3 linked regions of the Mus musculus genome follow. The main gene of each other region encodes a partner of the protein of the gene in region 2 in a complex. Links are inferred from orthologs where the notes say so. Each region holds a gene or a part of one and is shown on either strand. Other genes may lie near its edges. The genes, in order: Timm10, Timm22 and Timm10b.

What was found.
Region 1: the proteins of Timm22 (region 2) and Timm10 are in contact, whole or in part, in a cryo-EM structure (PDB 7CGP), measured with the Homo sapiens proteins. The link is inferred for Mus musculus from reciprocal best matches to the Homo sapiens genes TIMM22 and TIMM10. Residues at the interface, in NP_037469.2 of Homo sapiens: Tyr25, Ser26, Leu28, Leu29, Gln30, Tyr31, Leu32, Val33, Arg40, Leu42, Leu47, Gly48, Glu67, Glu144, Ser145, Tyr146, Gly148, Ser150; in NP_036588.1 of Homo sapiens: Pro3, Ala6, Gln7, Leu9, Ala10, Ala11, Leu13, Glu14, Val15, Met17, Met18, Ala19, Tyr22, Ser44, Lys45, Gly46, Glu47, Arg53, His62, Glu63, Gly66, Leu69, Thr70, Ser73, Met74.
Region 3: Timm22 (region 2) and Timm10b share a complex: the UniProt entries of both Homo sapiens proteins name them as parts of the TIM22 complex. The link is inferred for Mus musculus from reciprocal best matches to the Homo sapiens genes TIMM22 and TIMM10B.

The regions. Positions count from the first base shown.
Region 1 is NC_000068.7:84,825,724-84,829,822, reverse strand, and holds the start of Timm10 (mitochondrial import inner membrane translocase subunit Tim10), read right to left. Parts: upstream 2,803-4,099; 5' UTR 2,676-2,802; intron 2,225-2,675; 5' UTR 2,181-2,224; coding exon 2,110-2,180; intron 34-2,109; coding exon 1-33.
Region 2 is NC_000077.6:76,405,712-76,409,958, forward strand, and holds the start of Timm22 (mitochondrial import inner membrane translocase subunit Tim22), read left to right. Parts: upstream 1-1,432; 5' UTR 1,433-1,493; coding exon 1,494-1,731; intron 1,732-3,930; coding exon 3,931-4,127; intron 4,128-4,247. UniProt on the Homo sapiens protein: Essential core component of the TIM22 complex, a complex that mediates the import and insertion of multi-pass transmembrane proteins into the mitochondrial inner membrane. In the TIM22 complex, it constitutes the voltage-activated and signal-gated channel.
Region 3 is NC_000073.6:105,638,990-105,642,346, forward strand, and holds Timm10b (mitochondrial import inner membrane translocase subunit Tim10 B), read left to right. Parts: upstream 1-1,455; 5' UTR 1,456-1,603; coding exon 1,604-1,633; exon of another isoform or gene 1,634-1,686; intron 1,687-1,772; coding exon 1,773-1,868; coding exon of another isoform or gene 1,869-1,879; intron 1,880-2,038; coding exon 2,039-2,215; coding exon of another isoform or gene 2,216-2,239; 3' UTR 2,240-2,632; coding exon of another isoform or gene 2,633-2,673; 3' UTR 2,674-2,857; downstream 2,858-3,357. Other genes in the region: Arfip2 (arfaptin-2), read right to left, coding at 20-116, 336-434. UniProt on the Homo sapiens protein: Component of the TIM22 complex, a complex that mediates the import and insertion of multi-pass transmembrane proteins into the mitochondrial inner membrane.

The sequences.
Region 1 (4,099 bases), on a different chromosome or scaffold from region 2:
GGCACGCACTTCCGGTGGCAGGCACTGGTCATTCTGGGATTAGAGAAGAACAAGGTTGTATCAGTGACTTCCTGGAGCATCCCAGGCACCTTCAACAAGCCCAACCCTGCTGCATTGATTCTTGCCTCGTTCCCTCCGTCAAGAAAACAGCGGGAACCCCCAGTTTTCACTTCAACCACCTTGGAACGCTTTTCCAACTAAGACTCTTCTTTGAGTCATGTACAAGACTAGTTAAAGAGGAAGCACTTGCTGAACACCGGCTGTGTGCCAGGCGTCACGCTAAGGGCTAATACAGGTTCTGTCATGCAACCCTCACAGTAACCCACTGGGGCAGGCACAATCACTATCCCCACTTTACAGACGAGGAAATTAAGACACAGCTCAGTAAGAGCTGAGGGTCACACAAAGCTAGGTAGTCTGACTGCGCAGTCTGTATTTTAAAAACCATTCCAATTTGTAGTCTCCAAGACAAACCTACCGAGAGCTGCTGTCGAAAACCAGCAGATACCTGCTGGTTCCTGTATGATGTGCTAATGCTAGAGGCTTTCAGTTTAATATTGCAATGTCTTTATGGAGGGAGCAGTGCTTCTTAGGTCAGTTTTACTGATGAGTAACCAGTTATGACATTCAGCCTAAAGACACTCAGCTGCTGATGGTGCAGCAAGATGTTTCCAAACGGCTACAAGCAGTAGTTTGAAGTCAGGCTGAAGTTCTGGTCCTGACATTGCTACTGACCAGCTACAGCCCCTGAGATTATTAAACCCCTTGACACCTCAATTCCCCTGTGTTAAAATAGTACTAATAAAATTAACCCACTGATTTTCTTTCTTTCTTCCCTTTCTTTCTTTTGAGACTGGTCTCATCTATCCCAGGCTGGTTTTGAACCCACTATATAGCCAAGAATGATCCTGAACTATTTAGTCTCTGGCCTCTAACTGCTGAAATTATAGGCACCATGTCAAGATCAAACCAAGGGCATCCTGCATTCTAGACAAAAATCCTACGTTATTATATCCCCTTCTCCCTTTGAATTATTTTTAACTATTTACAAAACTGATAATGGGGGCCTGGAAAGTGGTTAAGAGAACTGACTGCTCTTGCAGAGGACCTAGGTTAGGTTCCCAGCACCCACACGGTAGCCCACAACTATCTTTGACTCCAGTTCCTGGAGATATGATGCCCTCTACTGGCCTCTGCGGGCATGCAAGCAAAACATCCATACACAGAAAACAAGTAAACAAACAAATAAATAAATTTAAAGTGATAATATATATAAAATGCTTTGCAAATGCCTAACACAGAGTTAAAGTATAATTTAGGCCGAGTGTGCACACCTTTAATCCCAGCACCCAAGAGAATGAGACAGGTGGATCTCTGAGAGTGAGGCCAGCCTGGTCTATACAGATTAAGCTGACAACCAAGGCAACACAGAGAAGCCCCATCGTGAAAAACAAGAACAAAACAACATCCACTCCATCCCCCCCAAAAAGGAAGAAAAACATTAATAAATATTAGCAACTAAATACTATTCATTACTAAATGGCTGTTCAGAAGGCTTAGGCGGCAAAGGCACTTGCTGCCAAACCAGAAGATTTGAGTTCAATCCAAGATGAGATCCTATTAAGCTGCCCTCTGACCTCCACATGTGTGGCGCTATGGCATGCATGTTGGCATTCATAAACAAACACAAAATACATAAACTACATAAACAAGGGTAAATGGGCTATCTAAGGAGAAAGAAAGATGGAAACGAGGAGAGAAGAGAAGAGAAGAGAAGAGAAGAGAAGAGAAGAGAAGAGAAGAGAAGAGAAGAGAAGAGAAGAGAAGAGAAGAGAAAGTGCTTATATGTTCTTGATACTCAGCAGAGCCTGGGCAGGAGATTCTCCATCATACACCCCTTTTATTCCCTCCAAATAGCCAACCAAGTCCTTCCAGTGACCTGTATTTACTTCAGCGAAGCACGCGGTGAGGGTGGGGCGGGATTAGGAGGGCGGGACTTGGCTCCACTACCTTATCGAAAGCATTCGTTACAAGTGCTTCACTCTGTCGGGCTAGGGGTGACTAGGGCGAGTTTTCCTAGACAAGGTGAAGCCGAGTGCTTCTCTTTACCTGTTGTACATGTCAGCCATCATCTCCACCTCCAGCTCCGCAGCCAGCTGCTGGGCTCTGAGCGGATCCATGTCAACTTAGCACCGTGGAGAGAATAGCCTCCTGGTCTTTAGTCCTAGGAGCGGACATGATCAGTCAGCATCGATCCCTCCCGGTTCACCCTAGTACCACCCCCCCGGGGGGGCTGGAGGGCGCGAGGAATTACAGTGTTTCAGACCAGCGGGGACCAATACCCCGCTCAGTAAACGTAATCAGCCCTCTTAACAGAAGTGGAGATGAGGCCCTTAAAGAGGACAGTGTCCAGCTCAAGGTCACTCGCGATGTCATGGGGCTCGGGGATGGAAACCGAGCCCTCTTAGTACCTCGAGATCACTCCTAGAGCCAGAGGATTGACAGTTGGGACGGAACACACAAAACCGTGGGTCTGAACCCATGCAGCCCCGAGAATGTGACCCTAACCACAGCCTAGGTTCCCGGGGTGGGTCTAAAGGCTGAGCCTCTGTCACGGCAATGGCATAATCAGGAATCAGGGTTACCCTGGGTATCAGACACCACGGCCCACTCACCACGGCCTGGGGCAGGTCACAGCTCCCGCAACGTCCCCAACTTCGGGTCAATAGTAAAAAGTTACCGGGTACCAAGGCAGGCGAAATAAGAAGCACGTGGGTCACTTCCGGAAGGAAGTCTAGCCTCTTCTTTGATCCGGAAGAAAACGCCGACCAGGCTGCGCTGGGAAACCGGCTACCATAGAGAAACCGACCTTAATTTGCTAGAGTGGACTCCAAAGTACCATAGAATGCTGAGTGAGTGGCAGAGCGCCGGCAGCCTTGTTAGCATTCCATCCCTCCGGTTGTCCGGGAGACGCCTGAGCGTTTGCAGTGTGGAAGAAGCTTGGCTCCCTGAACCCACCATGGAGAGCCCACGCCAGAGCGCAGACGGATCTTATGTGAAGAAAGGAGAACGTTTCCCAAAGGAGCCTGTCAATTTTGCATGTTAAAACACCTGGAGCACTTTAAAAAAAAAAAAAAAAAAAAAAAAAAAACACCTCAGCGCCCAGACGTTACCTCATACCCCTGAAATCAGAATCCCGGGGAGCAGTGTGCAACATTAACTAGTGGAGTTGCAGAGAAGATACACGATCGCTGCTCGCAGAAAAAAAGAAACATGTATAGAGATTGTCTTTATTTGCTTTTGAGGCAGGGTCCCATGGAACCTAGGCTGCTCTCTAATTTGCGGTGTAGCCGAAGATGACCTAGAACTTACGAACCTGCCTCCACCTCACTAGTGCTTCGGCTACAGATAAGCGCCATTATGCCTGACTTTTGCAATGTTGGGATGAAAACAGGACCACATGCTTAGGCAAGCACTCTATCAACTGCCCCAGTGCTGCAACATGTTTTACTGCACTTCTTTATTATAGCCCTACACATGCACAATAAATAAAGTAAGTAAATAAATAAATGTAATAATAAAAAGCATTGGGTTTATCCCTTTAAAATTTTATTAGGGCAAATTCACAACACAGAACACAGTCTAATGAACGTCATTGAATCTATCCCCAAGATTTAATAATTCTTACTATTTAGTCACATTTTCTTGATCTATTATCTTTAGCAGATGAAGTCTTTTTCCCAAAGTGCTATTTTCACATTCTCAGCTAATAGTGATGTTTTTTTCATCTCTCTTCCACAGTGCTGAAGGTTGAATCCAGGGTCTCATGCAAACCCTCCACAACTGAACTACACAGGTCATTTGATATACTATTTTTAAATTTAAATTTATTTATAAGAACATGTGTCCTTGGGCTGGAGAGATGGCTCAGTGGCTAAGAGTACTGACTGCTGTTCCAGAGGTCTTGAGTTCAATTCCCAGCAACCACAAGGTGACTCACAACCATCTGTAATGGAATCCAGTGCCTCTTCTGGTGTGTCAGAGCTACAGTGTACTCATAGATACAGAAAATAAATATATTGAAGAAGGAGGAGGAGGA
Region 2 (4,247 bases):
AACAGTCTAATGACTGGGCAGTGATGGGAGGTAACAAAACTTCCTTGGCAGTGAGCATGAAAGCAAAGGGATGGACTCAAAAGACAGGTGTGTATAAGCAAGAAGAGAGTGATTCACCCAGCCAGGAAACAGGAAGTGCAGGTGTGTGTGTGTGTGTGTGTGTGTGTGTGTGTGTGTGTGTGTGTGTGTGTGAAAGAAGTTCTAACTTCACCTGTAGCTCCTAGTTACTCTCTGCTGTTGGAGGACATTAATCAAAGCCCCTTAATTGCAAAGTCATCTGTCCAGGATCTGGAGAAATGGATCAGGAGTTGAGAGGGCTGGCTGTTTTCCAGAGTTCCTGGGTTCAATTCTCAGCACCTATATGATGGCTCACAGCCATCTGTTAACTCCAGTCCCAGGAGATCTAATGCCATTTGCTGGCCTCCCAGGTACTACGTGTACTCGGTCCACAGACATACATTCAGGTAAAGACTCGTTTGAATTAATTTAAAATAAATAAAATCTAAAAATAAAGTCACTTGTCCAGTACCCACTGTGTACAACAAACCGGTCAGCTAAGCAGTATCTGTTGGCACATACCTTCTACCAGCCATAGGGCTGTGACGTTTTTCCATTGTTAACCATAGTTGTATGCAACTAGTATGTATATAATACTCTATACTCAGCTTGCTCGCTCTCTCTCTCTCTCTCTCTCTCTCTCTCTCTCTCTCTCTCTTTTCTTAAGCATAGTTTCTCTGCGTAGCCATGGCTGCCCTGGAACTCACTCTATAGACCAGGCTGGCTTCAAACTCAAAGATCTGCCTGCCTCTGCCTAACTGATTTAACTGATTTAAGGCTTGCTAGACCACCACTCAGTTCATTTGTTGGCCTCCTTCTTTATTCCTTAAAGGCTTAATAACTATGTAATAAAATACATTTAGAACATATGTATGCCATGTTTCAACACTTACTTACAAAGCGCGTACATTCGATCTCAGAATACCAACCAGCCTGTGGTTCTAGTGAATCAGGTAGCTGCATCACTGCTGCATGGCTTAGAAACAAAGCAGACACGCGCGTCCCCTGCTGCAAGCTCAACGAACTGCAGCCTAACAGGAGCCCGACCGCTCTTCAGCGGCTTCTCAAGAGTTTTCAAAGGAAGTAGCATGTCCAGTGAGCACGCACGGCTTTCTGGGAAGTGTAGTCAGATGTTCGAGTTAGAACTACAAATCCCGGCACGCACCGCAATGGGGCCCCTAGTTGAGGGGTGTTCTTGAGATATTGAGTCTTGTCTGATTGCTTTTAGCAATGTCTTACAAACTTGGCAGCTGTTTAAAGAGGCGTTGAGGAAGCACGATAGCTCCCTCGACGCTGATGCATAGGCAGACTTTGCTTCTACACCTTCTTCAGTGTGGCGAATCTGCCGTTGTCGTCACTCTGGCTGGACGCCTAGGTAAGCGTGTGGAATCGGCTGTGGGAAATACGAAGTGAAAGGTACTAGAGCCCCTACGGTCATGGCGGCTACCGCCCCCAAGGCCGGGGGTTCAGCTCCTGAGGCAGCGGGTTCTGCCGAAGCTCCGTTGCAGTACAGCCTTCTTCTTCAGTACCTGGTGGGCGACAAGCGTCAGCCCCGGCTTCTGGAGCCTGGCAGCCTGGGCGGGATCCCGAGTCCTGCCAAGAGCGAGGAGCAGAAGATGATCGAGAGGGCAATGGAAAGTTGCGCCTTCAAGGCTGTGCTGGCCTGTGTAGGAGGTGAGACGAGGCTCGAGGGGCCCTTGGGATGCTGAGGGCTTGAAGAGCCTTAGGATTCCTTATCAAGACAACGCGTTTAGGAGGCAAGGAACCTGTAGGTGTCGACCTTGATTGCACCCGGACTTGCTCCTTGAACCCGGAGATGTCTCTCTTGACCCTGGGGTTAACAGTCAGGGTATGCAGGATCCTAAGTAGTTGCTTTCTGTCGTTCGTTTGTTTGTCATTTCATTCATTCATTCAACATGTTGTTACTATGTAACTGTCATGAGCGGACAGGAGCCCTGAAGGTCTAATATTAGGACCCAGAGAGAATGCTGTAGACACATAGGGAGTTGCAAAATTGTCCTTAAGGCAGAAGTTTGGAGCTTGGAAATTATTGCTGGGTGGTGGCGGCCCAGGCCACGGGGGTGGGGGTGGGGTGGGGGGAGGGGCTGAGACAGACAGGCAGACAGACAGAGCTACATAGAGACACCCTGTCTCAAAATAAAACAAAAAACAATGAAGACCAGTATGATTAGACAGACGGGGTGGGGCTGGGATAGACATTAACAACCCCCAACACACACACACACACACACACACATTCACATTTTGAGGATTTGAGAATGTACAGCATATTTAAAACAGACGGGGTGGGGCTGGGATAGACATTAACAACCCCCAACACACACACACACACACACACACACACACACACACACATTCACGTTTTGAGGATTTGAGAATGTACAGCATATTTAAAACGTGCAGGTGAAAAGGTTAGGTATATTTGTAGATGAATTCAAATTTCATTACAAATGAAAAACATTAGCCGGGCAGTGGTGGCACACGCCTTTAATCCCAGCACTTGGGAGGCAGAGGCAGGTGGATTTCTGAGTTCAAGGCCAGCCTGGTCTACAGAGTGAGTTCTAGGACAGCCAGGGCTACACAGAGAAACCCTGTCTGGAAAAACAAACAAACAAACAAACAAAGCAGGGAGGAAGAGGCAGTCAGATCTCAGAGTTCCAGGTCAGCCTAGTTTATATAGTGAATTCCAGGACAGCCCGGGCTCCATAATAGAGACACTAACTCAAAAAATCAAAATAAACAAGCAAGCCAAAAAAACCCCAAACAACCAAACAAAACAAAGTTTCAAAAAATGTAGTAGAAAGAGAGTTTGGGAGCTAGAGTGATTGGAAAGCAAGAAATTCTGGGAGAGGAGGTATCTGGCTTCCCTGAGCTGGTCTTGAGGTGATCATCCTAAGAAGGCATCATGTAGAAAAGGCTGGGGAGCAAGCTCAGTTGGTAAAGTGCTTGTCATGCAACCATGAAGGGCTAAGTTCAGTTCTCAGCATCTCTCCAAAAAAGCCAGGTTTGGCTGGGTGAGGTGACCGGGACCTCTAAGCCCAGCACTGAAGAGGAAGAGGCAGGGGAATGAATCTCTGAGTTTGAGGCCTGCCTAGGCGGTCTGCATATTGAGTTCCAGGACAGCCAGGGCTGTTACACAGAGAGACCCTGTCTTGAAAAACAAAAACAAAAACAAACAACAACAAAAAGAAATTGGTGTATAGTTCCTGAGGAATGACATCCCAGGATTGACCTCTGGCCTACACCCACATACACACAAAGAATTGTCCAAGGCTCAGCCAAGTCATTTGTCCACAGCAACATAAGACTCCACACTTAAGAGTCACGTGACTTTGAAGGCAGTTACTTAACCTCTCCAAGGTTTGGTTTAGAGAGGCCAGCTAGTTGGCACTTGAACACACCTTTAATCCCAGCACTTGGAAGGCAGAGACAGAGGTATCTCTTGATTTACCTGTTTTACAATAGCAAGTTCCAGACCCGCCAGTGTTACATAGTGAGGCCCTGTCTCAAACAAAAAAGCCAGAAAGGGGAGATAATAACATCTACCTCACAAGTTATTGTGAAAAATAAGGAGAACCCAGAATACCTGGTGCATGATGCTTACTGAGGGACTGTGAATGTTGTCACGGTCAAGGGATGATATACAACATTGGTAACTGAAAGCTGAAAGTCAGAAGAATGGACGGAGGAAGAAATGCTAGAGGAATTGGGGGGATAGACTCCGACTGTGTGCTGCAGGGGAGGCAGGATCGGGATTGAGACCAAGAGACCCGAAAGGCCATCTTCAGTTCTCATCCCAAAATGGTCATTCAGAGAATGTGCAAAAGAACTCTTCTCTCTGCTTGCCTCTAGGGTTTGTCTTGGGAGGCGCGTTTGGTATCTTTACTGCTGGCATTGATACCAACGTAGGCTTTGACCCAAAGGACCCTTACCGGACACCAACTGCAAAAGAAGTCCTGAAAGACATGGGACAGAGAGGAATGTCCTATGCCAAAAACTTTGCCATTGTGGGCGCCATGTTTTCATGTACTGAGTGTCTGGTAGAGTCTGTAAGTGCCTCTTGCATTTTAAGAAACCCCTTTCTGTTGCCACTGTACTCTTTTAAATTATCTTTTCTTTAAAAATCAGGTTAAAAACGTGTGTGTGTGTGTGTGTGTATGTGTGTGTGT
Region 3 (3,357 bases), on a different chromosome or scaffold from region 2:
CTATCTCTATCATTCATACCTGTGGGGATGAGTCCGTCACCAGAGCCCCCATAGCCACCAGACACAATGCTAGTTTCATTGAGGTTGGGTCCTGACACCATCACCTGCTGGAGGTCCTATAGGTCAGAGAAGAGGGGGGCACCTCAGGAACACAGGGATGGATGAAACATTTTGGGGACGGAGACAGTGCATAGTAAAGTCTGTACAGAACCATAAAGAAGATTTGAAAAGTATGAAGGAGTTTAGTTAACTGAAGGCTACCGGGACAGGGGAAATTAAAGGTTTATAAGTCAGGAATGTATAACAAAACAATGAGAAGAATCAAACAGAAGCACCTGCTCCAGCCCATCGTCTTCAGGAAGCTGCCCAGCTTCGCCATTTCCGTGGATGGGAATCTCCATTGTGGCTGCCTTCCCTAGAATCCCGTCCGTCATGGCTAGGGAAGGGACTGGAGTCAAGGTCTCCACCCCAGCACGCTGTAAAGCCCAACACAGACAATTCTGGAAACTGGCCAGCACTCCAGAACAAGGAGGCCTTCCCTGTGTTCTCAGAGGTTTCAGGGGTTGTCTTTGGGCTTGGGTGTCCTGGGATCAGCCACCACGGCTTTCCTTGAGTTTGTGTGTTTCTTCTCTTCTGAGGACATTATCTCTACAGATGCATGCATACCAAAGCCTCGGGTGTCTTCTCATAACCCCCCTACCTCGCCTTCAGTAACCATTCATGCATTCAGTCATTCAACAACTATCTAGTGAGTGTCTATTATGAGTGAGATACTGAGGCAATGGGATTATAGCAGTGAGGACCAGAGGGGAGGTCTATGCTCTCTGGGAACTTAACCCTGCAGAGGCAATGTTTACCAGAACCCTTTCCTAGGCTCAGACTCTCACTTGCCACTCAGGCATGCTCTACAATCCTGGTCTTTCACATTCTTTGGTGTTCCTTCCCCTCTTCCTTCAGCCGGTCTGGGCTCTTCCTTTCTCCATCTCATGCACCTGACTCCCTTAGGCCCTCCCCAGCAGGCCTTGGTTGAAGCAGTTAGTGAATGTTCCTGGTGTCAGGTGAAAGGCTCTCTTTCCCAGGACACGGGCAATCCCTTCCAAAGTCAGCTGAAGCCTCCCAGATGTGAGGGGCTCCCCCCACCCCCATACACCTGGGCATCAGGTGTGTCCTCATCCTTGCCAAGGGCTCAGGGCATTTTGCCCTCAGTACAGGTTCGTGCGTTCAACTTCCCTTCGTCCAAGTATGTCCTTCTCACCTGGGCCGGGCCGCTCTTCCCCTCAGGGCGCGAGGCCCGGACCGCGCGGGGACCTCGGGTTCCAGTTCTCGTCGCGATCCTAGCAGCAGGTCAGAGATTTGGCGGAAGTGACATGCTCTCTGGGCAGAAGAAGCCGGCCACGTCGCAGAGAAAAAGGGCGGAAGTGACGTTTGCAGTTGTGGGCAGGACGAGCCTGGAGCTACGCCTTCAAGCTCTTGGGGAGTAGTGAGAGTTTACTTCCGGGGCGACTCTGAGAGCTCTAACCTCCCCCCTCCGCCCCCCCAACCCCGCGCCACCCTGCCACCCCGCCACGGGCGGAAGTGACTAGGGCTGTGCGCCCTTGGCGTGATGGAGCAGCAGCAGCAGCAACTGAGAAACGTGAGTGAGAGCGCAGTTGCTCTCTGGGTTAGACGTGCAGTTTGTTTCCAGGGGTACACGCAAGAACCCGAGGGGGAGACGGGCTGTGCATCCCGGGGAGCCTTAGCGGTGGTGAAGTCGTGGTTCCCTTTTCTCTCAGTTGCGAGACTTCCTGTTGGTCTACAATCGGATGACAGAACTGTGTTTCCAGCGCTGTGTGCCCAGCCTGCACCACCGAGCTCTGGACGCTGAGGAGGTGGAGACAGTGTGGGGGTCCCAGAGTTGACAACGTGACGTGACACCCTCCCCCAGCCCCCCATCTTCTCCCTCTTTCTTGACCTCACTCCTAGGCTGGGGACCGGGAAGGAAGGAGGCGGGCTTGACTGGACCCCTTTTAGTTTCTACTTCCCTCCGTCTTCCTTCCAGGAGGCCTGCCTGCACAGCTGTGCTGGGAAACTCATCCATTCTAACCACCGCCTCATGGCCGCTTACGTGCACCTCATGCCCGCCCTGGTCCAGCGCCGCATCGCGGACTACGAGGCTGCCTCGGCCGCGCCAGGTATTCCTGCAGAACAGACCAGAGACTCGCCATCAGGCAGCTAGCCGTCCCTGGCCCCTGGAGAGAAGGTGCTTGGATGGGCTCCTCTATGGACCTTGGGCTTATCTAAATGTGTACAGAGAGATTGAGCTTGAAAGCTGGGTGCTGTTGCTCCTTTTCTTGGAGCCAATAAACCCGTTTTTACAGTCTGGTTATTTGTCTATGGGTACCAGCCTTTATTCTGTCATCTAGTGCATGTGTACTGCCTTTAGCCCTGGAGGTTGATGTAGTGCCTTCTTATGTGTAGAAGGACAAATTCAGCATTCCCAGCACCCCAGCAAAAGCAGGGATTATGGGTAGAGCTTTAAGGTTAGTAATAGCAATGGGAAATTGGTTCCAAAAGGAGAGCTCTCAGTGGCTGTCCTTGGGACTAACTCAAGGACCTGAATATACATTGACTCATAACTAGTTTTTATTTTCAGCTGTCAAAAAGAATTGCTGTGAACCTAGGGGAAGAAGGTAAAACCAAACAACAAAAGCAGGAAGAAAACTCTACCCCCTTAGGCTTTAGCCACTGCTTCCTAGGAGGTCAGTGACAACAGAACAAAGACAAGCCTCTAAGAATTCAGGAATGTTGACCATTTCCCCAATTTACTCTCTTAGTACTTCCTGCCTTTGTGAAATTAGCAATAAAGACTTTAAACAAAGAAGTGCTTTCTTGTCTTCAGAGTCAGTCAGGAAGGCAGCATTGGTCAAACCTCAGGAAGAGAACTCGAGGGAGAGGGAGATGGTGTTAGGGAGGGATGGTTAAATGCCATCTGTGCCCCTCCTCTTCGGGTTTGACTGCTTGTCTAATCTAGTTTCAGCTCTCTACCCTGTGCCTTACACTAGTCTCACTGTAACTGCTCTGATGCCAGCTTCTCTATTCTTGTTTCATTACTCCCCACCCCCTCTTGTGGGATTCACATGTGTATTCAGGAGGAGTCCTTTCCTGGCAGCTGCCGGTTCTGTGACTTCATTCCTAGTGTGGAGATGGGGAAGGAAGGAGGATGTGGCATGTACCACCTTGTGGGGCTTCAAGGATGACAGCCTGCAGGGCAAGCGACAGCATGGGGTCTGCATTTATTACTGTTTTACAGGAGATGGAGCACAAGTACTTGTGCTTGCCAGGCAAGAACTTTTTTTTTTTTTTTTTTTTTAATGTCAG